4 linked regions of the Diceros bicornis minor genome follow. The main gene of each other region encodes a partner of the protein of the gene in region 2 in a complex. Links are inferred from orthologs where the notes say so. Each region holds a gene or a part of one and is shown on either strand. Other genes may lie near its edges. The genes, in order: serine/threonine-protein phosphatase 4 regulatory subunit 2, PPP4R3B, PPP4C and PPP4R4.

What was found.
Region 1: PPP4R3B (region 2) and serine/threonine-protein phosphatase 4 regulatory subunit 2 share a complex: the UniProt entries of both Homo sapiens proteins name them as parts of the PP4 complex. The link is inferred for Diceros bicornis minor from reciprocal best matches to the Homo sapiens genes PPP4R3B and PPP4R2.
Region 3: PPP4R3B (region 2) and PPP4C share a complex: the UniProt entries of both Homo sapiens proteins name them as parts of the PP4 complex. The link is inferred for Diceros bicornis minor from reciprocal best matches to the Homo sapiens genes PPP4R3B and PPP4C.
Region 4: PPP4R3B (region 2) and PPP4R4 share a complex: the UniProt entries of both Homo sapiens proteins name them as parts of the PP4 complex. The link is inferred for Diceros bicornis minor from reciprocal best matches to the Homo sapiens genes PPP4R3B and PPP4R4.

Annotation. Positions count from the first base shown.
Region 1 is NC_080741.1:71,096,868-71,104,166, reverse strand, and holds the start of serine/threonine-protein phosphatase 4 regulatory subunit 2, read right to left. Parts: upstream 3,006-7,299; 5' UTR 2,795-3,005; coding exon 2,761-2,794; intron 2,224-2,760; exon of another isoform or gene 2,155-2,223; intron 2,104-2,154; exon of another isoform or gene 1,907-2,103; intron 1,762-1,906; coding exon 1,680-1,761; intron 1-1,679. UniProt on the Homo sapiens protein: Regulatory subunit of serine/threonine-protein phosphatase 4 (PP4). May regulate the activity of PPP4C at centrosomal microtubule organizing centers.
Region 2 is NC_080751.1:30,880,998-30,887,990, reverse strand, and holds the start of PPP4R3B (serine/threonine-protein phosphatase 4 regulatory subunit 3B), read right to left. Parts: upstream 3,010-6,993; 5' UTR 2,747-3,009; coding exon 2,605-2,746; intron 1,256-2,604; coding exon 1,200-1,255; intron 1-1,199. UniProt on the Homo sapiens protein: Regulatory subunit of serine/threonine-protein phosphatase 4 (PP4). May regulate the activity of PPP4C at centrosomal microtubule organizing centers.
Region 3 is NC_080765.1:21,875,167-21,882,153, reverse strand, and holds the start of PPP4C (serine/threonine-protein phosphatase 4 catalytic subunit), read right to left. Parts: upstream 3,019-6,987; 5' UTR 2,930-3,018; intron 2,706-2,929; 5' UTR 2,643-2,705; coding exon 2,545-2,642; intron 1-2,544. Other genes in the region: ALDOA (fructose-bisphosphate aldolase A), read right to left, coding at 5,368-5,463, 5,553-5,752, 5,920-6,094, 6,183-6,266, 6,569-6,729, 6,859-6,913. UniProt on the Homo sapiens protein: Protein phosphatase that is involved in many processes such as microtubule organization at centrosomes, maturation of spliceosomal snRNPs, apoptosis, DNA repair, tumor necrosis factor (TNF)-alpha signaling, activation of c-Jun N-terminal kinase MAPK8, regulation of histone acetylation, DNA damage checkpoint signaling, NF-kappa-B activation and cell migration.
Region 4 is NC_080763.1:39,886,253-39,893,084, reverse strand, and holds the start of PPP4R4 (serine/threonine-protein phosphatase 4 regulatory subunit 4), read left to right. Parts: upstream 1-3,828; 5' UTR 3,829-3,910; coding exon 3,911-4,027; intron 4,028-5,380; coding exon 5,381-5,454; intron 5,455-6,832. UniProt on the Homo sapiens protein: Putative regulatory subunit of serine/threonine-protein phosphatase 4.

The sequences.
Region 1 (7,299 bases), on a different chromosome or scaffold from region 2:
AATCATTTTAATACAAAACATTTGAAATAAAATGGACAAGCACCTAACCGGAGGGAGGAGGAGCTAGTTTAAGTTCTCTATCAGGATAAAATAACTTCCCAGAAACATCAGGTTAAATTTCCCTAGCCACTTGGTGATCCAGTTAGACAGAATTTTAAAAAGCTTTCTTTTGGAAACTTTCAACTATTTATACATTTATAGACAATATATTTCATCATAAAGGAAAGGCAGTTTATACAGACCTGATAAGCTAAATAAGAGAAGAGCTTTTAAGTATCTATCCCCAGATAGTTTAATATAATTTTATGTATCCAAAATTCTGAAAGTAAAATGCTTTTCCTCTTGATATTCTTGAGAGGGGTAAGTTTGGACCAACTAGCATTTCAAAAGAAATAGTGGCAATCTAAGCATTTATGATTTAGGAATTATTTTTGAAAGCTGGCATCTAGTCATTTTTAAGCTTATTTACATAAATACCAGTTATTTTGCATCAATTTTTAAAAATCAAGATGTTCTAAGAGACTATAATTCAGAGGCAAAAATGACTTTTTTCCCCCTAAAGGGTTCCATTTTTAAAATGTAATAAATATAAGATTGAACAGATCACAGTCACATTCTCAAGTTGACTGGTAATCTTAATAATGCATTAAGGAAGTTCAGCTTGTCTACACGACCATTAAATAAGTTTTTTTTCCTTTCTAAAATTAGGCTAATTATTAGAAGGCTACATTACAACCATAAGCAAATCTTGTGAGAAATGAACATTTGCTAATAGTGAAAGAAAGTATACATCACTTGCTGAAGCTTCCACTCTTATATTGGGCCTCAAAATGAATTTTAAAATAGGCAAGAAGTAGGGGAGCCAAAAGGAAGCCCACTTATTAACACCGCAGCCAAAGAAACCTTTCCCCTTCCTGCTCCGCACTCGCACTCCGTACCCAAAGAAAAGACTAAAAGGAAGTTACCAAATCTGCACTGCTCTCTACAAATCAACTTAGCCAAAGTGTGAAAACAGCTCCTGCCACACAAACTACTCACATATCAAACTGGAACGTTCTTTTGAAAACAGTCCTAACTTCATAGTATAAGTTTCAAATTCACAACACTTGGAAACAAGCCTAACAAAATGCTGAGCACATGTAACAAGTTAGCTATCCTAGAAAGTTTACAGGACAGTCAAAACTGTAGCATCTGGAATTTGTCAGATAATCACCCTGAGTCCTCAAGAGAATAAACAGAAGTGACACTTCAAACACCCACATACATAAATATGACAACAAAGGGCTGGATACAGGACAATATGAGAAAATACCGGCAACAAAAGAATCTGAAACAGAATCAAAGCCACAAAATTCTGGGAATAAGCCTGTTATGGCCAAAAAGGGTTATAATGGGAGTAGGCATTCTTCCTTTCTCCGGCTCTTTTAGACCAGTAACTTCTAAAAGTACCAAGGCTTAGCTATAAAGAAAAACTTAACAAATTTTAAAAATTCATTACAGAGCATGCATAAAGTAAATAAAGTGTATGCACTTAGTAAATGTTTTAAATGACTGAACTGAACTTGTACAGTTCAGCTAGATGGATTCTTCAATTCTTCTGAAAAACACTTTTTTCCCTTTCCTAAGCAATTCTGAATGATACATAGGTCTATAACAACGAATACATGTTTTCAACTCACATTGTTTCTCCAGTCTTGGCTACATGACAAAGAAACTGATCCAGGACCGGACAAACTTCCTTTTTCCCTCTCTTCTCAAAATCTAGATAAGAGAAGAAAGAAAAGTTATCAGTATTTCTCAAAGTCCATCGACCATCTCCAATGCCCTCTACAAACAAACTTTCCTCCCAGTCCTTCCTCACATTAACAATAAAAAAAAAAAATTAGCCTCTCAACCAAATAACCACCTTGACTCTCCCAAATTCAACTTCCAACATGTCACCCTCTTCACAGGTAACAAGAATCCTCCTAAAGGGGGCACTCAACTTCTCCACAAACCATCCTTAAGGCAGTGTTTCTCAAAGTGCAGTCCGGGGGCACACCAGCATCAGATTCACCCGGGAAGCTGGTTAAAAAACTAATCCCAGGCCCCCACCCCCACAAATTGTTTATCTAAGGAAGGTTCATAAATCTGCGTTTAAGAAACACCAGCTACCGCCTGTAGCCGTCCCCAAATGACTCTGGATGTCAAAACACAATTCTCGAAACGCTGAAACCACGCTATTCTAAGTTTGAGAACGCTGTTCCCAAGCCTGTTGCTTAGAAGGCGACCGATCAAGAGCAGCGAGGGCGACCACTTAGAAGGAGGGCGCGTGGAAAGATGACTTCAGAAGCCCCGCAAAACGCTTCCCGAGACACTTCAAAGTTGCTCTGCCGCCCCCTCCGCCCCCGACCTTTTACTTTTTTCTCTCCCCCCGACGCCTGGCGGGCGGGGGCCTGCCGGGGAACCGAGCCCGCCGGGGAGCGGGCTGCGGGCCCGAGACCTGCACCCGGAGGGGTGGGAGAGGGGCTGGGGCCCCGGCGAGAGCGTCCCCGGCTCCCCTCCCCCAGCCCAGACGCCGGCGGCCGACACAAAGCCCAGAGCGGGGCGGGAGGGAGCTGCCCACAGGGCTCCCCGCCCCTGGGGAGGCGGGAGGGGGGATGGGAGCCGGGGAAGCGCGCCGCCCGCGCCCGGCCCCGGCCTTCGGAGGCACCCGCCCCGAAGGGAGAGGGGAGAGGGCCGCGCGGGGTGGAGAAAGGGAGAGGGGGCAGCTACCCCCACCTTTCAGCGCCTCCTGCAGCCTCTCGACGTCCATGGCTTCCCGGAGTCCCTCGCAGCCTCCGCCTCCCTCCGCGGGTCTCCCGGGCACCGGAACGCCTCCCCCCACCCCCCCGACGCCCTCCCCCTCCCTCGCACACACTCCGTCACGCAGGCGACCGGGGGGGGCACCGAAGGGAGCCGGGGGAAGCGAGCGAGAGAGAGCGAGACCGAGAGAGCGAGCACCTCCCCGAGCCGCTACCACCAGCCCTCCAACATGGCGCCCGGCACGTCACCGCGCGCACGCTCCCCGCCGCCGTCCTCGCGCCCGCCGCGCGCCCCGACCCGGAGCCCGAGAGCGCGTGCGCGGCGGAGGCGTGCCCCTAGGGCCGACCGAGACTCGGCAGGCGCCGGCCGCTCCCTTGCTGGTGGCCGCTCCCTTGCTGGTGGCCGCCGCCGTGCCTGCGCGGTGCTGGAGACCGAGTCGTCAAGGCAAGGGGCTGGAGGTAGACCCCTGGCTTTGAGTGCCTGTTTTTTGCTGGCTGTGTGACCTTGAGCAATTTACTGAGCCTCTCTGAGCCTTAATTTCCCCATCTCTACAATCTAGTACCGACCACCCTGTTAGTTGCTGTGAGAATTAAATGAGCGTGTGTACACACAGCGGTCCGAGTGTGCGTAAACAAACAGTCGGTATTACTAACAATCGAAACAAGAATACCTCCCTGCCTGAACCCAGCGTTCGTCACTGACTCACCCTTGAAGAGAAGCAATGCATACAGCAAAGGGATTAAAAGCTTAGGGATTGGACCCAGCTAGATTCAAAGCCCAACTCAACTATTTACTCTCTGTGTGACCCTGGACTAGTTATTTAAACTCATGGAGCCTCAGTTTTCTCATCTACAAAGTGGGGATTTGTAAAACAGCCGTGAGGCTTGAGTGAAATGGAGAATATGAAGCATTTAGCACACTGTCTGATACAGCGCCACAGGTGACAGGATGGCCTTAAACAAGCCCGGGCAGGGTTCTCATCTGCTGTATGCTGGGTCACTCGGAGTCGGAGTCGATTCCACGGCACTAACGACAACTAGAACTTGTAAGCACTCAGTTAGCGTGGCTGTTGTTTTTATTATCATGATTCTGATGACATTGCGTAAGCGCCCAGGAAGTTAGAGAGGGCGGGGACCTCGGAAGTCCTCTCCAGGCCTGGCATTTTTACCAATAGGATAGCTGAGGCGTAGAGAGCTAGCCTGGAAAACAGCACCAGAACCCAGAACATCTGGCTCCCAGCCAGCGTGTGGACATTTTTATTGTCTTCTCTTGTCTGTGAGCTTTTCAAGGAAAAGATCTTAACTTGTTCCACCTTCTCCTCTCAAAGCCTAGCACAAGGAAGGAAGGAAGGGAGGGAGGAAAGACTATTTCTTTTCTTGTCTTAGAAGGTGCAGATTTGGACACAAGCTGTTGCAACTGTTGACTCTCTTAAAAGACGATGGCCCTGACCCTGACCCTAACCCTGACCCCACGTGGCAGAGGTAGGCAAAAGCTGCCCCCACACAAAATACTTCTCTCAATTTTGCCATCAGAGAACCAGTCCCCTGTGTCTTGAAACTCTTCCATTGTTCAGAGCATCCAGCTCAATTACAAATAGACTTGCAGGGGGGTATAAGGGAGTGTCATCATCAAACACTTGGCCAGCACTCACCATAGATTTAGTTTATCTGGTCCCTTCTGATCTGAAGGGGCCTACTCTCTACACAGCAAAGCTTAGTCTCCACTTCTCCCTGCCACCCTGTCCTCTATTCAGGCAGGCCTCTTCCTGCAAGAGCTGTGAGGGACAATACAGTTGGCACTAGCCATGTGTGGGTATTTAAATTTGAATTAATTAAAATTAAATAAAATTTATAATTCAGTTCCTGAGTTCTTCAGTAAAATTCAGTCCCTCGGTCACACTAGCCACATTTCCAGTACTTGATAGCCACAGGTGGCTAGCGGCTTCCATATTATATAGCATGGATAAAGAAAATTCCACTATTGCAAAAAGTTCTTTTGGAACTTTCTGTTAGACAATATACCATGCTAATTTCTTTCACCTTGCTTTGTCTGTTTTCATCAACTGTTCCCCTCACTTGGGGTTGCCTCAACTTCTAAACACTGGAAAAGTCCATGACAGGAGACAAAGTACACACAGCAGCAGCAGCCTGGGGGATCAGAGAAAGTTTCCCTGGAGGAAGTAGGTATTTAAGCTGAGACCCGAATTATGAGAGGAAGGTAGCCAAGAGGAGCTTTCATACAGGAAAACCATCAGTGCACAGGCCTTGAAATGAGAGAGAAGAGCCAGGTGGGTTCTGAAGAGCCATAAGAAATTCAGTCTGAATTGAGCTGAGAGTGCAAGGGCAGAAGTGGCAAGAGATGAGGGTGAAGAATTATTTCTGCGGTTCATTTCTTTCTCCTTCCTTGGAATTCTCTAGGCAGCATGCATCACAATGTCTGTGGTTGCTAGAGCCTCTCACTGATACTAATCCCTTTGGAAGAAAACAGAATGTAAATGTGACAGCCAGCCTCTGAGATTGCCCCAATTGTGCTGTCTCCTGGGATTCACGCCCTAGTGTAGTCTCCTCCCACACTGAATCAGAGCTGGCCTGTGTGACCAGTAGGAGTGTGGCAGAGGGAATGGTGTTTCACTTCTGAGGCTGGGTCGTAAAATATGCTTTGGCATCTGCCTTGGGCTCTTGGATTGCTGGCTCTAGAGGAAGCCATCTGCCATGTCATGAGAACATTAGAGCAGCCCTGGGGAAAGGTCCCAATGGAGAAGAACCGAGGCGTTAGAAGTGGGTCCTTCAGCCTACAGAAATCCTTCAGATGACTGCAGCCCCAGCTGGCATCTGGACCACAACCTTATGAGGGATCCCAAGCCAGAACCACCCATCTAAGCTGCTCCTCAATTCCTGATCCACAGAAACTATGAAAGATGACAAATGTTTATAATTGTTCTAAGTTTCCAAATTCTGGGATAATTTGTTACACAGCAATAGATAACTAATGCGACAAATGAGAATATTAATAGTAACAGCTAACATTTATTAAGTATTCTCTGTTACAAAAATAGCCAGTGTAATCCTAGCAAAAATCCTATGAGATAGGTGATATTATTATCCCACTTAACAGAAGGGAAAATTGAGGTATAAAGAGGTGAACTAACTTGCCCATGGTCACACAACTACACAAGCAAGTGACTGACCCATGTTTCAGACCTGGACTGACTTCAAAGCCCCCAAACACTTTCTTGTCCTCAAGAAGGTTGCAAACTACCGGGAGAGATAAGAGTACGCTGTAAAAGTATAGTTTGGTATATCAGAGCATAGATTCTGATGCAAAGTAGAAGGAGTGTATGCGAACTGGGTGGTCAGAGGCCTTCGAAATCTCTTCCAGGCAGGGATAGAAGTTGCTCTTTAGAAAGGCCTTGCTTAAAGACTGGAAAAAGTTTGCACCTACAGGGAAGAGACTTCCAGGCAGAGGGAATGGTATTAACCAGGCGAACAGTCGTTGAGGGCCTCCTGGGTGTAGGGAGAAGATGTAACTAGACTCTATTTCCCCTACGGAGCTCATGGTCTGATGGAGGAGATGGACCTTAAATAAACGTAAACCACACATCAATGTGGAAGACGGGCTCATTGCTCCAGGAATATGCAAGAGGGAAAAAGCCCGAACTTGAGAAAACACAGAGTAGGAGGTGGAAGATGGAAACAGAAAGAGAAGTGAGAGAGAGAAAACAGCTGGGACCATGTCAGAGAAAATGCTTGAGGATCTTCTTATAACCCCAGGGAGAATTACTGGAGTCTGACCATGCCTCGGGGATGAGGCTGTGGGAAGGGACATGAAGAGGGGATTGAGGAAAAGTCTAGAAAAACTCACACTCCGTCTACAAGGATTGGAGGACAGGGAACAGGCCGGGTTAAAACACCACTACAGAAAGCCTTGGAGGCTCTTTGAAGATTTTATTTATTTATTTTTTCCCGCCAAAGCCCCAGTAGATAGTTGCATGTCACAGCTGCACGTCCTTCTAGTTGCTGTATGTGGGACGCGGCCTCAGCACGGTGGAGAAGCCGTGCGTCTGTGAGTGCCCGGGTCCGAACCCGGGCCGCCAGCAGTGGAGCGTGCGCACTTAACCGCTAAGCCACAGGGCCGGCCCTGGAGGCTCTTTGATTCTCATGGCCTTTTACTCATGCCTTTTGGACCTTATTTATATGTCGTAGTGGGTATCAAGATGAAGCTGAGGTAGGAAGGTGGACAAAATAAGGGGAAACAATTTTCTAAACAGTTAAGAGGGTAGTTTCACGTATCATCAGGGTTAACTTTTTTCTAGAGACTCTCCAAAGCTAACACATTTTTATTGGAAATAAGGGTAACAAAGGATCTGTTCTGAAAGACTCTGGGTTGCTTCCTGTGGTGCCACAACCGTGTGATTGCTGCTGGTGGCCGTGTTGAGCCGAAGAGCAGTGTTAGGAGAGGAGGCTGGCAAAGAGGAGTACTGCCGAGCTGGATGACTTCGTTGAGTTTGACTGCAAT
Region 2 (6,993 bases):
AATATAATCCTAAAATTTATCTTTTCCTTTAAAAATCTCTGCCATATTCACTTTACACACCACACACACAAAAAACTGAAAATAATCCAAATATCTAACAGGTATATATCATATATCAGAATACTATACAGTGTTTAAAAAAATATCAACTAGATCTACATTGTTAACACAAAGAAATCTTCAAAATAACATTGAGTGAAAAATGAAAGTTGCAGAAATACATGTAAGAGTCTAGATCAATTGTGCAAAGTTTAAAAACACACAAAAGACTACATATTTATGGATACATACATATGCAGAGAAGGTATAAAAGCATGTACAGAAATAATACACATCAACTTCAGAATAGTGGTTACCAACAGGGAGGATGCAGAATGGATATAATGAGATGGGTACAGAGGGGTCTTTAACTCTATCCACAACGTTCAACATTACACAAAACTTTGAAGCAAATATGGTATAATGTTAACATTGTTAAACTTAGTCGTGTTACAAGGACATTCATCAGATTTTTCTCTGTACTTTTCAATTTTGAAATCTTTCATAATAAAAATGAAAACATTCACATAATAAAGAAAGGGTGAATCACTGCTGCCATTTCCAGATTAAATAATTAGGCATGTTAAAACACAACACAGGTTTTTTTCCCCAAGACAATAAATATTAACAGAAAACATTACATAACCGGCAATGTACACTTTTGTAAAGTATCCACTGATTATTATATTAAAAATACACAATTAAAGAACAGGATTTAAATGCTTCTACTTCAAAAACTCGACCTTTGCTTCAGCCAAAGGATCTAATTTCACATCACAAACAGGCTTTCCTTGATTTTAAGAGTACCTCTTTGAATTTTCTTTTATGCCATTTCCTCTAAATGTGATCGAGAATAAAAGGCTTAGTGTACAGGGTATAGAAGAGATCTGGCTAACTGTAGTTAAATAAGACTAATTAATACATTGTATTCTAATACAAACTAACATAGGCTCATTTCAAAGATAATAAATTACTGCCAGTACAAAAAACTTTCACTCTTCAGTTTGAAACTTTTAACGTGCAAGGGAAATACATATGGTCTGTAACTTTGTTTACCAAACATGTTTTTTCTTGTCAGGAAAGCCTTCCCATCTTTGTCAGATTAATACTTCCTTGATCACAGATGAAGTCTTTCAAATTAAAGATAAACAACTACTTGCCTGTTGTTTCTGATATGCAGTGTTTGGATTTATCTTTGATTCCAAGAGTAGTGATCCTGAAAGATAAAAAACAGTATTTGTAAGTTTTAATTGATAAAATCCCGAATAAAAAATCAGAATCCACATTAAAAAAAAAAACCAAACCAAAAAAAACTTATGTTCCCTTCACCCAGCCAGACATCTGAAGTATCAAATATATTCGAACTCACATTTTTCTCTCCAGATCTGGGCTTCACATTTAATTTAGAAGGTATCATCCTATCCCCATACCCCCTTAAAGGAAAAAATCCATCTAAGACCAACATTCAGACCAAGAATATAAGGAGACTAAATGACTATTAAAGTTTTATTGAAACGAAAATTTTAAGGTCTAAACAACCACTTGAGGCCAAACTCTTTTTAGCCAAGTTATTTTATTGCATTCCAGTTTAACAAATAAAACAAATTACAAAGGACCACAACAGGGGTCTAAGTACTTAGTACACAAACTACAGAACTGCGTTTTATCTTTTTTTCCTTAACAACAGAAGGTAGGACATCTCATGTAGTAATAAATGTCCATGACTGTTTAAAATAAAAAGGAAAGTGCAAGAGTACAAATACGTCAAGAATAAATCTAAGATTGTTATTTTTCTATTATCTGCACATAGTTGCTCAAATCGAGGCATTCCAATTACAATGAGAAAAATGTTTTAATTACAGCTCTATATTTTATAATTTAAAAATACTTTACATATGACTCGTACAATAAATCAACGAATACAAGTTTACAATCTGCTTTGGTGTCCTAACTTGTTTAGGTTGTGAAGTATCCACTTTTTCACAGCACTCTCTACGAAAACAGCCTGGAGGGATCCCACACTAAAGATGTGTATATGCTTGTGCGTGCACGTATCGTGGTAACAGTCTGCAATAACCCCAGAAAAAGATGCCTTTTGCTTTTCCCCAGCACCTGTCGACTGTGGCAACTGGGGCTCGTTGGTAAAAAGTTAAAAAAAAAAAACTCAGGCAAGTTCCACTAAACCTTCTGTACCAGACATATATATAAATATGGCTAAGAAAATTTTAAAAAAAAAGGGAAGGGATCAGCTCCCTCGGACCAGTAGATCACTACCTTGTCTCTCATTACTTCCTTCTCTTTCACACTATCCTCTTCAAAAGAAGAGACTGGAGAGGAAGGGGTCAAATCCTTAACAGGGATAGGAGGCGGGGGAACGGAGAATCGGCATCGGACTGAGGGTTAATCCGGGCAAGTAGTTTCTTTTTACCGTACAGAAGTGCAGGCACAAAATCACTGCGCTGTCCCAAGACATGGTAGTAACAGTACTCGGCCCAGGGCCTAAACCCCAGGGCTGTGCCCTAACCGGAGGCACTGTCCCCTATCCTACCGTTCCAATAACCTTACCGTCGGACTCTGCCCGAACCAGGAGCGACATCCCCTTGAGCTCCTCCACATAAGTGGAGGAGACGTGCCCGGTGCCTCGGTCGTCCCATTGCCGGTCTTCGTTCAGGGTATAGACCTTCACTCGCCGCCGCGTATCCGACATGGTGGCTGCTGTCCTGACCGCTCCAGCCGCCGCCTCCTCGCTCACCTCGTCCGTACCCCTCACTCCTGAGAGACCGGAGCGGTGGCGGCGGCAGCGGCGGCGGCTCCGGAGAGGCCCGAGTTCACCATGGCTCTCAAGGTTCAGCCGCGGGAAGGGGCAACGAGAGCTACCGAGACCTCTCCGCCCAGAGTCCCGGTTACCTCTCACTTCACCTCCGCACACAACCACTCTCCCCTCCCTTCGCCCCCCCGGAGCTCGCTCGCTCTCCCGCCGCCGCCGCCGCCGCCGCGGTAACTACTACAGATCCGCCATCTTGTAACCCGATTCTCTCTGCCTTTCTCTTCCTCCTCCAGCAGGCTCGCACGGGCTGTCCTAGCAGGGGCTACGGCGGCCGACGAGTCCAACGCGCGACGCCTCCACTTCTGCACGCGCTTCCCGGCCCGGCTGTGCTCGGCGTTTTCGCGAGGCGGGGTACTGGACTGTGATGGGAGGGCCTAAGTGCGATTTCCTCCTCTCTCGGCCCCGCCTGCTGGCGCGGGATCTCGGCCAAGTGGGCGGTTCTCGCGAGCTCCGCGTCCCTCTGGTGCCGCGAGATTCCTGTCTATGCGGGCTGCGGTAGCTGAGTCGTGGATCGTGCTTCATGAGGTGGCTGCTAGCGCTCGGCGTGGGGCGACCCGTGGGACCCAGCTCTGAGGAAAAAGCAAAGCAAACCTGGGAGGTATGCGTCCTTGGACGGGACTAACCTTGTGCAAAAAGGAAGGAAATGTGCTCGCGTTCCTTAATAGAAGCTCACTCTATCAGCCTGTGGGAGAAAAATAGTCTTAAACCTCTTTCTGTGAAGACATAGGAACTTGAAGCCCTTTAAAGCGACCTGAACCCACTAAAACTCGTTATGGAGTCTCTTACAGTTAAGCATCTCCTCAGGAAGTGTTCTATGCATCTCCAGGCGATTATAACGTCGTACAGAAGTGTGTTGACCATTTCCTATTTCCCGCGAAGGCGTTTCACCGTTAGGCTTTTGGTAGCTGGCCGTTGAAAAGCATACTTTCCGTTTTATGAAAATACAGTGCCCTTCCCGTGTTTGTAGCCTCGAAAATAAGTCTTCAGATAAGTTTAGGGAGGTGGCGGGAAGCTGCTTTCCTAACATCTCTAAGAGCATTGTTTTGATAGTCTTGAGTTTCTCTTGCGAGCATTTCTTGCGTTATCTTTCGGGAGGTCTTCGGCGCTGAATAAGCGAAGGAAGAATTCTCTCGGCATTCACGTTGTCAGACATGGCGCGGTGGATACAGGTCGTGCGTTGGACAGTCGTTCATTTCATTCCTCTTTTGTTCTTGGTAGAATCGTTTTATTTATTCTTTAAGACGGTCTCAGCTTGGTCACCCGCCAGTTCTTACACCCTGAAAGGTGAAAACCAGGCGAGATGCACACGTTGATCCTGCAGCGTATCTTGGGAGTTGTAGTCGTTACTTATTACTGGTCTGGTCAAAACGTGCTTATGTTTTGACCAGGTCTTATGCATGGACACCCTTCAGCGGTACATGTAACGTGAGATAATGGCTTACACAGAGCAGGCGCCTGATAAAAAATAGATTCTAATTTCAAATTCGGGATACATAGAATTTTTTTAAATCTAAAGAGGACCTCAGAAAATGTACTTGAATTAAGTAGTTATAATATACATAACAATAGAGCCCGTTAATTGATGTAATTGATGTGGACAAAATGCATTTTGAGCCCAGAGAAAAATAATATTTCTGTCTCAGATCAGGGAAAGCTTCACATACATAACTTTTGAGTTTGATGTTAGAGATCGAGTGGGAGTTTGGCGTGCAAAGGTTTTCAAGGCTGAGGGGACAGGGTGAACAAAGTCATAATGTGTTACTGGCCTAAAAGAACTTATAAGTTAAAAGAATGAGAACTATGCAGAAGTCACTTTAACACTATACACGTTAAGAGGTTAATATCCTACAAATAGATCTAACTCTGGACAAAATTGTGAAATGAGTCATTTCCTGTATTTATTCAATCATTCAATAAATATTTGTTGAGCATATACTATGTGCTAGGCACTGTTCTATACAGTGAGTAAAATAGAAAAAGTCCCTCTTCTCATGGAGCTTACATTCTAGTGTAGATAGACAATAAACAAATACATGCCTGGTACTGATAAATGTTGTGACCGAAAATAGAGCAGCAAAAGGTTAGAGAGTGAGTTTGGGAAGGGTAATGATGTGTATTGAGGAAGTCCTCTGTGAGAGAGGCAGTCAGTCAGCCAAGCATTTCCCCAGAGGAAGAGAGAGCCAGGAAGTGGGAACAGCGAGTACAAAAGCCTTGAGACTGTAGCATGTTGAGTGAGTGAAAGGGTTAGCAAGGAAACCAGTGTGATTGAATTGGAGTGAGAAAGGGGAAAATGGTGGGAAATAAGGTTGGGAGTGGGGGAGAGGCTATTTTGAAGAGCCTTGGATTTTACTTTGAATGAGTTGCAAATCCACTGGAGAGTTTTGAACTAAGGAGTGAAATGATCTAAGGTTTCAAAGCATCCCTCCTATCTTTTCTTCAGTATCTCTTCTGGTATACCCCCTAAGATCTGGTGACCTAGAGAAAAAGAGAACAGAGTTAAACCCATAGGACTCATCTCTCCCCATTGCTGGATCCTCAGGCACACGTTCTCCCTTGTTTTCTTCTTCCCCTAGGCCACAGCGATTCACTCTCACATCTCTTCTACTGCCACAGGCCCACCTGTAACATTTGTAGGGCTGGATATTTGCAAGGCTCAGGACAGGCATACAAATGGAAGACCATATACCATAAGTCTAAAATATTTAAAAGTTTTAAATCAAGCTAACAAACTGGAATAAAATATATTTTCTTCTCCTACCTTGGGTATACTTTGACAAATATATTTTCATAATGACCTGGAAGCCAGATTCAAATCTAGTGTTCTTGAACTCCTCAGAGTTCTAGAATCTCCCTCTGGGCCCCAGAGTCCTTAGCCTGCCTTCCTTTTCTTCTTCTACCTCAGCTCTGTCCTGTACTTTAGCAGCCCTTATGTGCACACATATAATACCCCAGCTTTCTGTCCAAGCCCTGTCTGCACTCCGTGAATGTAGTTACCCCCTGGCCACTCCACGTGAGGACAGAACTTGAGAAGAGGACTGTGCAGACCCTGGAAGCAGGCTTGGCCTTTGGGGCAGGGAATTCCAGGGTGCCCAGAGCATGGTCTAGAAAGGGGAGACTGGGTTCCATGGACTTATCACCTCATGGAGAGAAGCATGGACAGAGGGCCTGCTGAAACACAGGGCCCAGCACTTCACTTGGGTCTGAGGGCAGTACTGCACTGCAACAATGTGTTTTCCCCAGCAAAGCTTCTTTTCTTCAGGCAGTCATCAAAGTTCCACTCCAAGAGTTGATGTGTGTGTGCGTGTGTGTGTGTGTATATATATATATATATATATATATATATATATAATACTTACATTACTACCTTTTTTTAAAACACAAATAATGCAATACTATACATACTGTTGTACAGATGTATACTAGTTTATTTAAACCATCTCCTATTTATGTATATTTGTGTCATTTCCAGCAGTTTCAAAAATAAATGATTGTACAGAAGTTATTTCATGTGTGCCAGTATATTTGTAGGTTAAATTCCTGAAGCAGGGTTTTGCAGCCTTGGCACCATTAACATTTTGGACTGGATGATTCTTTGTTATGAGAGGCTATCCTGTACATTACAGGATGTTTAGCAGTATCCCGGGCTTCTACCCATCAGATGCCAGTAGTATTGCACCCCCTTCTCCAGGTGTGACAACCAAAATTATCTCCCATCACTACCAAATGTCCCATAAGGGCACATTACACTTTTTAATTCTTGCAAGTTTAAAAAAAAATATTGTTAATCTCTGCAGGGTAACCTGGGTTCTCAGTCTAATTGACTCATGTCCTTGAAATGTGAGGCTTTCTTTCACCTTTCCCAATTCTGTTAGATGTTTTTATGAAAGAACTGTTATGAACGTTTTTTGCTATATTCACTCATTTTTTTCCTTAAGGTGATAGATCTTTAAGATTTCTCTATTTAAATAAACCATCAAAACTGATAACTTTTATCCTCTTCAGCTGCATTCCTATTTCTTTTCCTTCTTATAGCCAAACTATTCAAGGGTTGAAATTGTTTATACTCCCTTCATTTCCTCACTGCCTACTCATTCCTCAGTTGAACCCATTCTGGTTTCCATCAATCC
Region 3 (6,987 bases), on a different chromosome or scaffold from region 2:
ACCTCAGTGCCAGTAGGGCCCCAGCGCGGTCTGGGAACAAGGCCCAGCCTCCGACCCCAGCTCTGTCCCTTGCAGCATATCACCAGCCCTCTCAGGGCTCGCCCCTGCTCCCCTTGACTTCCGCGAGGAGCATTACCTTTAGGAAGTGCCTACAAAAGAGCCAGGCCCTGTTCCTGGATATGCAGAATCTCATCTGAGCTCCATAATGATTTCAAAGACTTGGAGAGATCAAGTGACTTGATCAGGCTCATATTGTTTATAGCTGACGAAGCCGGGACTCATACTGGAGGCCACCTGATTCAAAACCCTCTGCACGTCTCATATGCTGACGTCTTTAACAGGAGCAAGTTCAACTCACACACTTCAGGCCTCTCTAGTTCCAAGGATTTGAGTCTACGTACCCTCTGAGCAAGCTGAAGCTCTGACACTACCAGCCTTGGCCTGGACTCCTGGTGGGTCCCCCAGAAGGCCATGGCCAGGTGCTAGAGTTGGCCCCCCTTCAGACTGGGCCTGCGATAATGGTGGCCAACTCAGGCCCCAGCCTAGTGCCTCCTGGCTCCATCTCAGCTTCAACTGGGCAAGACCCGCCTAGCCCTCAGTCCTCTACAGCTCCCTGCCGCCTCTCACACAGTCTAAATGTCTCTGCCTGGCTGTCAATGAGCATGGAGTATAGCGCAAGACCTGGATCCAAAACCAACCTCCCCTCCAACCAGCTGTGAGACTACAGGCAAAACATTATCTTCTCTGAGGCTCAGTTTCCTCTTCTGTGAAATCCTCACCCTGCGCTGCCTACTCCATAGGGCTGTGCAAAGAGCAACAAAGCCTGAACACATAACCTCTCTGTTTTTCTGAAATCTCCACAGTGCTATTTAAGCATTAGCTATCACCACCACCAAACTGAGCCAGGCCTGCGGGCAGATAAGACTTACGGGGAAAAAGAATAGTGCTAGGCAGAACAGTGCCAGACAGCAACTGATTTAAGTTCCTAAAAATGCCAATCAAGACTGAGTAATCAGGGATGACTAAAAACATCTTAGGGTCTGGTCAGGGAAGTTTTCTTGGGCTGGCAAAACACAGAAGAGCCACAGACAAGCATTCAAAAAGGGGCCTTGCCTGTTCACCAAACCCATGCAGCCTCTGACAGCCACAGGCCCAGAACCCAGCCCTGCCACTTTCTCTCTGGGTGATCTTAGTCAAGCCACTAGGCCTGTAGGAATCATGGCTTCCTGTTCTGTAAAATGGAGTAAATAATCCCAACCTCCCAAGATTGCTGTGGGGAGGAAACGACCGTAAGTTCTTTGCCAGTACAAAGCCAGGCTAATAGTGGGCCTGTTGTTCAACAAATGCAGGGTAAGCCTGCTGGCTCTTTTCCCACAATTCCCCATCTTGGGGGAAGCCACAGTCAAGCAGTAGCACCAAGGAGGCAGGTAACTGGTCTCCTCATTGGTGCCCACACATCTCAGGGCCTCCACTCTTACTGTCACTCTGCCTGGAATGCCCCTCCTCACTGGCCCTGCTCCCATCAGCTACCCAAATTATTTTCATTTTTCAAGGCCACCTTCTCTTAAAAGTCTTCCCTGATGACTTCAGTTCATATCAGCATTGCCCTCTTTCCATGCAGTAATAACACCACCACCTAAAGACTGCCGAGCACTCACATTGTACCAAAGCTCTCTGCTAATCCCAAGCACCAACTTACTGACTTTCACAACCATCTTATTAAGTGCTACTATTCCCACTTTACAGATGAAGAAACTGAGTGTCAGAGACCTCAAGATCACCAACACAGCTAATAACTGACAGAGCTCAGATTCCAACCTAGAGCCATCACATTCCAAAGCCTGGGCTCGTAACCACGACATCATCCTACTTCCTACAGAACTATGAGTTGGGCCTCTCTCCATAGCATGCTTAATTCCACCCTGGCTTAGCTGCTACCATTTCTTAGGCTCCCACAATGAACATGAGAGTGATCCAACTCCACCTTCTTGCCTTAACGGCCTGAAAAGGGGACAGGACACGGAGAACTAGTTTCTGACTCCGTCCCTCACTTGCTGGTTGACTCTGAACATGAGAGTCCTCACCTGTAAAATGGAGACAATTCCACCCACCTTTAAGAGTTGTTGTTGGAATTAAAAGAATTTTATAAACCACAGAGTCTTTAGCTTTTCTGCCTTGAACTTTGTTCCTGCTGATATTCCCTTTTATCATATTATTCTTCCAAGTCTACCCCCAAAGTTCAGTTCCTCCGAGAAGCCTTCTCTGTTCCCCCGACAGATAAGGCTGTTTCCCTAAGCTTCCTACGTACTTTCTACAACGCTCTAACTCCACTGAAAACACATCATCTAATACTTCTAAGTGTCCTTATCCAGGTCTTTCTTCCCCCAGCAGGCTGGTTGTTCCTCGAGGAAAGTGGCCCTATTCTGCTGCTCTCGGAGAAAGCTTCCAGAATGAGCCAGGCCCAAAGTTCTCAGCTGGGTTTGCCCCAGGCCGGAACCCGTGGACAGCGGCCGGGCCTCCCTTCCCTGGGGCCGCCGGGCTCACCTGGCCTTAGCGCACAGGGCCTTGACTTCGCTCTCCTTGATGAGCTCGCAGCGCCGCAGCTGCTCGATCTGCCGGTCCAGGTCGCTGATCTCCGCCATGGCCCACCCCCGGCGCGGGTTAGAGCCAGGGCCGCCGCCCCCTCCGCACCGCACAGGGGTCTCCTGGGAAAGGCGAAGACGAGCCCGCGGATCAGTGTCCGTGGGGGGCGCCGGGACGGGAGGGCAACTCAATTCTGGAGCCAGCCCGGCTCCCCCGACCCCCGCCGCCCCTCACAGCGCCTCCCGGACCCCCAGCGTCCCATGGCACTGGCTACCCCCCGGCTAGCTCCGCGAGCCCCGCGGCCCCGCGCTAGGGACGGTGGCCTAGAGGAGTCTCGGACTATTACCGCCGCTGCTGCTCCGGCTCCGGCTCCGGCTCCGGCTCTCGAGCTCCTGCCTTGCTCCTTTCCTCCGCTTTGGGCCGCCGCCACCGCCGCTTCTACTTCCGGCCCCGCCGCGGAAGCAAAGGGGACCAGTGCCGCCGCGCGCCGGACGTGGCGTCATACTCAACCCCTCCCACGCCGCGCCCTGAGCCCCACCCCTCAAGCCCAGGGAGCGCTCCGAGGCGAAGGAGCCGGTCGCCGGTAGCGTGCGGGCGGAAGTGACTGTGGGCTAAGCCGATTGGCGCTGTGAGGGCTGCTAGAAACCACGCTCCAGTCCCCTCCCATCTCGGTTAGGGAGACTGAAGCCGAGCGGGCGCTCCGGTTTGTAGCTTTGTTACACGTTTTTGTTTACCTGGTTTAGTTGGCCTCCCCCATTACAATCTCAGAGGGATGGTACTTTGTCTGGTTCACGCTTGCGGCCCCAGTGCTTAGAACAAGGCCTGGCACAGTAGGCATACATAGGTATTTGTTCAATGGATGAAGGAATCCCGGTCCAAATCTCTTTCCATGGTTTTGGAAAGAGCCAAACCATGTCTCTTAAGTGGTCCCAGAGAAATCCCTGCCATGGAGGACCTCCGAAGTTAGAGGCAGAAGGGAGTCCACCTTCCCCACACCAAGCCTATGGCTCAGTCAACACGACCTCTCTGATTCCAGAATGGTCCCCTGGACACCCGTCAGTTGCTTCCCATAGTCTGCAATTTTATTCCTTTTTTGAAGAGGAAACTGGCTCAAAGATCTTAACTTGTTCATGGTCGCATAGCTAAGAATTTTGGGTTTGAAGCAAGGTTGAAATTTGAACCCAGGAAAGCTGTGTTCTCAGCTCCAGCTTCTCCTCCGTCACTTACTCTTTCTGGAACTCACTTTGTCATAAAATAAGTCCCAAACTCCCACAATTGGGGTTTGAAGTCCTCTGCTTCCCTGGTCTCTTTGCTGCAGGGAGGGGAAGCAATTGGTCTTGAAGCAAACTTCATGATGTCTGAGCCCTTTTGGAATGTGCTTTTTGCTATCTTCTATTGACCTTCAATTTTTATTTGCTTTACTTCAGATTTTGTTTCACCAAGTGGAGTAAGGCTAGGCACAGAAGTGAGGCCTGTTTGGAGGGGCACAGGGAATGGGTTTGGTTTTGGATGCAGGCAACAGATGCAAATGTGCAGAGAGAAGGAAAGGACCAAGTTCTTAAACTCCTAGAACTAGAACTCCTAGTCCTAGATAAGTCACTTCTACGAAGATCACTACAGGGATTCAGTGGGTCCACAGATCAGAAAGGTCAAGATTTTTCTTTCTCTAGCAGGCAGCTCAGACAGGAAAGGGCCCATAACAGGAAATTTGGGAAGTGGCAGGACTATTCCCTGGTTATGACTAGGATTTTTAATAGCTGAAAAGACCTGGTGTAGTTGCTGCTATACCCCAGCCTGGGCAATTGGGGAAGGGTTCAAAGTATGGCATAGGGGTCTAAGTGCAGGGCCCATTCTGGCTTCATGGAATGCAGCAGCTACAGAGGCTCAGTTGTTAACCTGGAACCTGAGCTCCACAGTTCTGTGCGTATGTCTATCTGCATTGTTGAGGGGGGTGTTAGAGAGGATTCCAGGTTCTTCAAGGAGTTCCCAAAGACTAAGAAGCCAGTTCTGATCCTATCTCCTGTTAAAATGGGAAGACGGGCAAGCTCAACAGTGTAGATTAAGGAGATATGCATTAACAATCTTGTTTCCACCAAGAAACAGTGCAGTCTCGGTGCACTGTAACCTTAAGGATAAATTGAGGGTAACAGCACCTCTCATATAGAACATTTATGTTATCTTATATAGAACACATAAACCCAGGAAATCTTGGCTTTTGTCAGTGGCTGTTCTTCTCACTGGGGCCTTCTGCACCCGTGAGTTCTGGGCATAAAAGTGAGGCTGAGTCTGCAACCTCATGACTAGCAGTTACAGACACACTTCCCAACTGTGAGCCTTATCAGATGCTGCTGGTAGAAGGGGGTGGAGCAGTTGGTGGCTGGAAGAAAATTTCACAAGCTCTCCTCTTGAAACCCTGGGCAAGTATAAAACAAGGGGGATAGGAAGGTCCTATCCCACCCCCTTCACCTTTTTCCTGCCCAAGAAGGAAGAACACAAAACAAGGGCTCTTTCTTCTGGGCTCTGCCACCTCCCCTGGCCCTCCCCTGCCCTGGACACCACAGAAATGGACAGCAGACTCCCCCTTAAATAGTTGTTTATTGGCAGTGGGCTGGAAAGGGCGATGGAGTTAGCATACACAGACAATACCACACACCAATGTCACCAGGGAGGCAAGAATGATGGGAAAAAGTAGCCTAGAGCCCTGGATGAGGCCCCCTGTTCAAGAATGAGTGTGGGAGGGGGCGGGCCTGGAGTGTTGAGGGGGTAGCCTTAGAATACCTCCACTTAGTAGGCATGGTTAGAGATGAAAAGGGACTCGCTGGCTGCAGCCCCGGCCTGACCACTTGGGGTGTACTTTCCTTGGCAGGCGAGGCTGTTGGCCTAAGAGGAGAAAGGAGCGAGAGTAAGAAGGTCTCTTCTCAGAACCCCGTCCACCCGGCCACCCTGCCCACCTCCTGCGCCATCCTCACCAGGGCTCGCTTGACATATTCCTCCTGGGCAGCCTTTAGGTTCTCCTTCTTTCCACCCCAGGCCTTCAGGGCAGAGGCCTGCAGGGCTCGGCCATAGGAGAAGGTCAGGGCCCATGGCTTCAGCAGGGGGCACTTGTTGATGGCGTTGAGGTTGATGGATGCCTCCTCCTCACTCTGGCCTCCAGATAGGAAGGTGATCCCTGTATAGCGAGGGGTGAAATGGGGGGAGGGATTGTAGTCAGAGATCCAGCAGACTGGCTGGTAGGAGCCCCTAGAAGCTGGCCTGGAAATCAGACCAAGTGGGCACAAGGATTGTGGGTACAGTTCATCTACCTCCCAGAGGTCAAGACGAGGGTGTGGGTCTCACCAGTGACAGCGGGGGGCACTGTGCGGCGCAATGCTGTGACAGTTGCCATGGCAATCTCCTCGTGAGAATATTTGTGGGTGCAGGCGTGGCCTGGGGTTACCATATTGGGCTTCAGCAAGGTGCCTTCCAGGTAGATGTGGTGGTCACTCAGAGCCTTGTAAACAGCAGCCAGCACCTAGCGCAGGGCAGGACCAAAGTGGGTAGGTTAGAGTCGGGGGACGGGTCAGCCCACCACACACTGCCCAGGGAGCCAGACAACCTACCTTCTCGGTTACATACTGACAGCGCTTCAAGTCATGGTCCCCATCAGGGAGGATCTCAGGCTCCACGATGGGCACGATGCCATTCTGTGGGGTGAAAGACAGGGTAGCCATGAGGCTTCCTAACCCGGAGCCCCACCTACAGCTCTCTACAGCCATCAGCCAAGATCTTATCTCCATGATGACGGAGACTCATAGCTGCACAGTCCTCAGCAGACTGTGGGCGAGAGCCTTCTCTTCAGATCCATCCACACAATCCCTGTTCTGCCCTCTGCTTACAAAGCCCTCAAGTGAGGGAGAGAGGGATGCTGGGAGATGTGTGGCAGGCTAGCTGACATTCTGGAACAAAATGAGGTGGGAGGTGGCCTGTTGGGGACCTGCAGGCCCACCTGCTGGCAGATGCTGGCATAACGGGCCAGAACGTTGGCATTTTCCATGATGGCAAGAGATGAGGGAGTGTGCTCCCCAATCTTCAGCACACAGCGCCACTTGGCAAAGTCTGCTCCATCCTTCTTGTACTGGGCACAGCGCTCAGACAGCCCATCCAGCCCTGGAGAGGGGACGGAGGAGTCAGAGCATGGCAGAGGAGGGGGCAGGTGGCTCCCACTCACCCTGGTTACCCAAGGGGTACCGACCTGGGTGGGTTGGTTGGTAAGGCAGGGAGCCAAACAGTTCTCACCTTGGGTGGTCGTCTCGCCGTTTGTTCCTGCCAGGGGTACCACGCCCTTGTCTACCTGTTGGGGTGAGGACAACAACATAAAACAGGAGAAATCATCTCTAGTACCCTCTTCTCCTCTCTAGTCCCACT
Region 4 (6,832 bases), on a different chromosome or scaffold from region 2:
GTAATTGCATTAGTTTCCTATTGCCTCTGTAACCAATTACCACCAATCTAGTGCCTTAAGACAACACAAATTTATTATCTTATAGTTCTGGAAGTTAGAACTGGGTTTCACTGGGCTAAAATCAAGGTGTCAGCAGGCTGCGTCCCATCTGGAGGCTCTAGGAAAGTTGTTTCTTTTTCTCCTTTTCCAGCTTGTAGAGGCTGCCCACTAGGGCCTCCTTTCATATTCAAAGCCAGCAACGGCCAGATACTCTCCCTACCTTAAAATCCTTAGATCAGTCACGTCTTCAAAGTCCCTTTTGCCAGGTAAGGTAACACAGTCACAGATTCAGGGGATTAGGATGGGCATCTTTGGGAGAGCACTATTCTGCCTCTCACAATAATCAATTGATCCAGCACAATTTGTTAAATCTTTTCTGAACCTGGGTACAGGGGGAACACTGGTCTGGTGGTAATGATAATAATAGAAAACACTGAACACTTGCTAGATGCCAGGTATTTCCTCTAAGCATTGTATGTACATTATCTCATTTAATTCTTACAACAAGACTTTGTGCTAAGTACTACTATTATTCCTGTCTTGAGTTGAGTAAAGAGAGGTTAAGTACCTTGCCCACAGTAGGAAGTAGCAGGGCTAGGATTCAAACCCAAGCAGGTGGGCTCCAAAGTCCATGCACTTAACCACTATGCTGCTGTTGAATGAATAAATCTAGCTTCCCTTAGCTGTGTCCTCAAGCCTAAGTCACATAACTTCTCTGAGCCTCAGTTTCATTACCTGTAAAATTGCAATAGTGGTGCAATTCTTCTGTACTTCACAGGGCTGCTTCAAGGGCACAAGGAGACAAGTTGCAAAAAAAGCACTTCAGATGTGGAAAATGGGGCTCGTTGTTCCACTGCATATCACTGGCGGAGCCAGGACTGGGCCTCAGGTTTCCTGGCAGCCAGGCTGGGGTGGGCTATTTCCACCACAGGCTGGTAACTATAGCAGTAACAGATCCCAGTCATCAAACTGAACATTTTCCCTTCATCAACCTCCTGGCCTATAACAGCCAACATCAGAGTTACATCTGTATATTCAATCAATTGCTCATTAAGAATGTCATCAAGTCTCAAATGATGCTGTTACAAAATCCAAATATGAAATAATACTTCTTAGCTGAAACAGGGTAAAGTTTACAAGTATTATTTAGTATCTGTTACAAATGAAGGGGAAAAGGAGGAGAATTCTGGAAATTGACATAAAGGGTAGGCTGCAAGGTATTTGCTAGGGAAAACCACCTCCCCCACATCTTTGCCTCTTCTCCATCCTCATCCCAGCAAGATCCACCCCTTTTGATTTTCCCTTCACACCTCCTTAGTGGAGCAGAGATCAGAAAGCCTGAATTTCAGCTTTGAGGTGACCCACGACTCTTTTTGCTTTGAACTCGAAGGCAATATGGGAAAAAAGAGAGCAAGAAGTGGGAAGATTCACTCTACCAGATATTAGGACATATAACAAAGCCGTAGCAATTAAATCAGCTCAGCCCTGATTCAGAAACAGACAGGTCTAGATCAATAGAACAGCAATGAGAGGCCAGAAACAGAGATGTGTGTCTGTGCAGACTTGACATAGGATACAGACGCCATGACACATCGGTGGGGAAAAGATGGATTGTTTGGTGGGTACTGCTGAGAAAACTGGCTTACTACGTAGAGAAAATAGTATTGTATTCCTACATGCACTATACGCGAGGTGAACTCTGGATGAATTAAGACCTAACTGTGATAGGTAAAAGTATGAAGCTAAACAGGGGAAAACATAGGAGAATATTTTGTGATCGTGGGAAGGAAAAGATTCTTCAACAAGACCCAAAAAGCACACTCCACAAGGGTAAAATTTGATGCATTTGGCTAAATCAAAATTAAGGATTTCCCCTACACTGTAGGATAGTGAAGACCAAGCTAACAGGATGCGTGAAAGATTGGGAGATATTTGCAATGTCCAAGACTGACAAGAGACTAATATTTAGAATATATATGAACCCCTTCAATTCATTCAGAAAAATAACAGGAAATCTAGGAGAAAAATAGGCAAAGGATGTAAATAGATAATTCTTGGAAGGAAAAAATCTCCATGGTTAAGTATAGGGAAAAATGGTTAACATCGCTAAACATTGAAGAAATACAAATGAAAATCACAGCATGATACTACTTTATCGATATCAAGTTGATAAAAATTAGGACATCAGATAATACCAAATGTTAGCCTCTAGAGTGGGGAAACAGGAATCTTTGTATCTTCATGTGCCATTGGTGGGAGTGCACATTGGCAAAGCCATTCTGGAGGGCCACATGGCAGAGTGAAACCAGGCACTGTGGACTTCGTGACCCAGCAATTCCGTTTCTTTCTTATGGTCCATAAGAGACACGTCTAATACTCATTCCAGCATTGTCTGTGGCAACGAGGAACTGCTGGCAACCTAACTGTCCATTATTTAAGGAATTGATAAGTCAAATGTGTTAGATGCACAAATCGAATACTATCAGTGGTCAGCATTAATGAACTCCTAGTATATACAGTCTCATGGGTAGATTTCTAAGGCATTATGTTGAGCGAAAAACAGGAAACAGAGTGAGTTCCTATCACAATAGCATTCATGTATATTAAAAATAGACAAACTAAAAACAATATCTTTCCAGGATATATACACGTACTGGGACATATCTTAAACACAATGAGAGAGGGTGCAAATGGAGGGTAAAGAAATGGGAGTGTGGAGAGAGAATGAGTGGAAAATAAAAAAAAAAGAGAGAGGACTTGCTGAATCTTACGAGCTCAAGAGTAGATCAACATAACTCTTGTCCCTGAGCTCCAAAAACTCGCCCCAATCCCCTTCCATCGCTTTCTCTTCTTAACAGAATCAAAAGCAAAGAACCCAACGTGGCTGCCCAGAACAGAGCCTTTCTCCATAAGTGCCCCGCCTCTTTCCCACCCACCTCGCCAAGCACTCGCTTCCAGCACTCCGAGCTCTACTCTTACTGCACGTCCCACAATCAGAACACGCCCAGGCTTCAATCCAAAATGACCTTACTCTTATTATCTCTCTCGGAAAACTCTTACTGATCACTTAAGATTCAGTTTAAGTATTTCCCCTCCAGGAGTCCTTTTCTGACCCCTGCCCTGCCCCAAATGCGAGCCCCTCCAGGACTGGATTCCCACACCCTCCATCCTCCATCCCCCGCCCCCCCCCCCCCCCGGCACACACCAGGTTGTAATTGTTTATTTTGGGTATACACCCCTCCCCCAGGGCTGGAGCTGAGCTAGGCTGGTCTCTGCGACAGCAGCTGTCGGGCTGAGGTGGGCAGTCCCACGAATAACTGGAAAGTTATTGTACCGGGTTAAACAAGACCACAGCCCACTCCGTCTCCTTTGCTTTCTCTCTCATTGGCTCAGTCTCTCCGCCCCCGACCCCCGCCCCCAGCCCGCCTCCACCGGCTGCGGGAGGTAGAAGGCTCTGCGCAGGCGCCGCAGGGTGGGGCGCGCTCTGCCGGGGGCGGGGCGAGTGGGACTTGAGGGCGGAGAGGGGCGGGGACAGAGGGGCGGTGGGGGCCGCCGCGACGTTGCGCGGCAGTTGCGTCCGGCCCGCGTGCGCGCGGCGCCCGGGAGGGGGCGGGGCTGAGGTGGGCACTGTGCCACCTCCCCCGCCCTGGCCCCGCCCCCCCAGCCCGCCCGCGCGCCTCGCCCCGCCCCCTCGCCTGCCCCGCCCCGCCCCCTCGGCGGCCGCGCTCCTTCTCCCGCCGCCCGCTCGCCTCCCGCCCGGCTCCCGCGGCCGAGAGCGGGAGAAAGTCCTGCTCGTGGGCGGCCGCGGGGCTGCACGCGTCCGGCATCCCGGGGCCGCTCCGGCCCGGGCGGCGAGGGGGCCCGGCGGTCCATGCATCCGCCGCCGCTCGCCGCCGCGATGGATTTCAGTCAGAACAGCCTGTTCGGCTACATGGAGGACCTGCAGGAGCTCACCATCATCGAGAGGCCGGTCCGCCGGAGCCTCAAGGTGCGCCCCGGGGAGGAGGAGCTGCCCGCAGGCGCCCGGCGGCCTGCCCGGGCCCCTACCCCCTCCCATGCCCTCCCCGAGGCGGCCCGGACCCCCTCAGAGTCGGGCTGGCCCCTCAGTCCTCCTCCAGTGCCCGGTCGGCGTGTCACCCTAAACCGGCTCCTCTCGGGGCCCCGTCTTCGACGCGACGCCGGTTCTCCCGGGCTGGACCCTCTCCCCTGACCCGGGGCCAGCCCCGCGGCCCCTCGGACGCCCTCGGCTCCCTAGTCGCCGGGCGCCTTCCCCAGCCCGCCCCCAGGAACGGCCGGCCCAGTGCCCCCCCCCCCGCGCCGCCCCGCCGGACGGCCGTGGCCCGTCTTTCTCCCGGCCCTGCAGGAGCTGCCCCGCAGCCGCAGCCCCGTATCCCGGGTCCTCGCCTCCCCCCATCCCCTTGGCCCCCTGGTGCTGCCCGGGTTCTGGCCCCCGTCCCACTCCTCGGTCAGCACGGCGCCGACTCCCCCCCTCTCCCCGAGACACCCCAGATCCCCTCCCCCCATGAGAGCAAGCCCCGGTGCCCCTGCCCTCAAGTCAGCCCCGGCCTCCCTTCCCCTCCCAACCAGCACCCGTGCTAGAGTCGTCCTGCTGCCGATCTTCAAAGCCCGCCCGACCCTTTGCCCCCATCCTGAGTCACCGCACGTCCTCTCCTCCCGGCCCCTCCGCGACTCTGGCTGGGACCCTGCACCCCACCCCCCTGGAGCGAGTCAGCCTTCACCAGCTCCCCCACCCCGCAGAGTCATCTGCCTCCCAGAGGCTCCAGCCCTCAGCGCTGGCAAACCTAGTTTGCGGACCCCCCAGCCATCCTCTTAGTAGCTCCTTGAGCTCTTCTCGCTCCCACCTGCCGCAATATCTCGAATCTTTGATTTCCTTCCAGCCCCAGAGTTTATTCCCTTCCCTCCCCCTACTCCAGATTTCGCCTTTTTCGTTCCCACTGGGCTGCATCTTCATCCATCCCCCCTTTTAGCATGTCCTGGAGTGGAAAATGCTGGAGCCTTGGGGTATAAGAGATAAAAAGTATGTATATATTTTATATATGCATATAAAATTGATTTCGGCAATATTCTGAAGCCACAATTGTGATTCTCAAGCTTCACTCTAGAAGCTAGAAGAGTAAAAAGAGAAAAAAAAAAATCCAGACCCCCAAAACTCTACCACCCAAACCCGACGATTAGAGACCTCTGTGGTTGAAGTCGCCTAGAGTCCTCAGACCCGTGGTTACTTTTCAATAATGCTTAATTGTGAAACTTCATTAGTCTAGACTCATACAGGGTCCCTGATGGATATTTATGTGCATGATTTGTGTTTTACACTTGACAGACACCAGAAGAAATAGAAAGACTGACAGTTGATGAAGACCTCAGTGATATTGAAAGGGCTGTGTATCTGCTCAGGTATTTCCTGAAGTCTTTCTGTGAAATTCCTGCTCTTTCTCTGTGGCAGCATCCATGAATGCTTTCTGAAATGTCATGTTATGGTTATGTTCAAATTTCCTTAACCACTTGAACAGAGTACTTTTGTCTGTGTAGCACTTAATTATGTTATAAATTAAGAACTAGACATAGACTTATAAATTTGAGAACCGAAATCAAATAACATACCTAACTTATAGAAGATTGTTTGGAGGAGGAGGAACAACAATTAATGTTTTGAGTTGAATCTCATTCTTTTTTTAAATTTTCCAGCTTTGGTTGTTCTCATATAATATCCAATAAGTTTAGATGAGACTTAAGAATATACAGTGATTAATTGTAAGTTAATTGTAGTGTATGAACCTTACATGCTATTTAGTGTATAGAAAAAGAAATCCACAAAGATGGTAGTTCAATTTGTTGCTCAGGATGTCCTGTTTATATTACTTTTGCAATGTGAGCTTTATAATTTTGCCTGAGCGATTTTAAAATTTCGTTGAGCCTACTCTGATTTAATTTTCGTATCACAAGCTCTATAGAATTGCTTAAGGCAAATGGTTATTGCAAATATTTACAAGATTTCTCTCAACTATTTGAAAAATTGTGTTGTGGATTTATGTTCTTAAAAGCTAATGTGGTGAACATTAAGGAACATATCTATGAAAATACTTAAGAAACAGAAATTCTCCTAAGGCATTTCGTGTACATTGGTTTTACAATTTTTCTTTAACTTGCATGTTTTTTCGCCTTTGGCAAGTTAGTTTTTGCTTTGGTTCTCAGAATCAGATTTTGAAAACTGGTGTTATTTCCCTCCTGGGATGTTTGTCATCTCTATTTCCTTAGCTCAAGTCTGCTTTGCCAGTTTCAGTTGCTGGCAAGTTTCTTGTTCTCCTTTCTTGTTTTATAGATCATGTTTCCAGTCCCCTGTTATTCATTGAATGATCCTGCGGAAAAAAAAATCTCCTCTCCGTGACTTCCATTTTCTTAATTATTCTGTAGCCTCTTAGTGGCATCTTCGGTTCTGTTATTATTTGAGTCAGAATTTTAGCATTCTTGCAATTTGGACCATTCTCTCCAGTAATTCTACCACTTGAAAATGTTTCTGGATCTTAGACTTTATGTTGATGTCATTTCCCCTCCTCTTTTGTTAATCTATGGTAGCATGCTCTCATCATTTCTACCTATTTATTTAAAAGAAAAACTATCTTATTTATGTGTAAATTAACGGTATGTGTTTTTGGTGTTTGCATAGAGAATAATCTAAGGTTTAACCTATTTTGACATTTTATTGTGTTATGTTTGAAGTACTTATTCCTCAATAATTAACATGTCCAGCATGGTGAACAATAATTGTAAACAT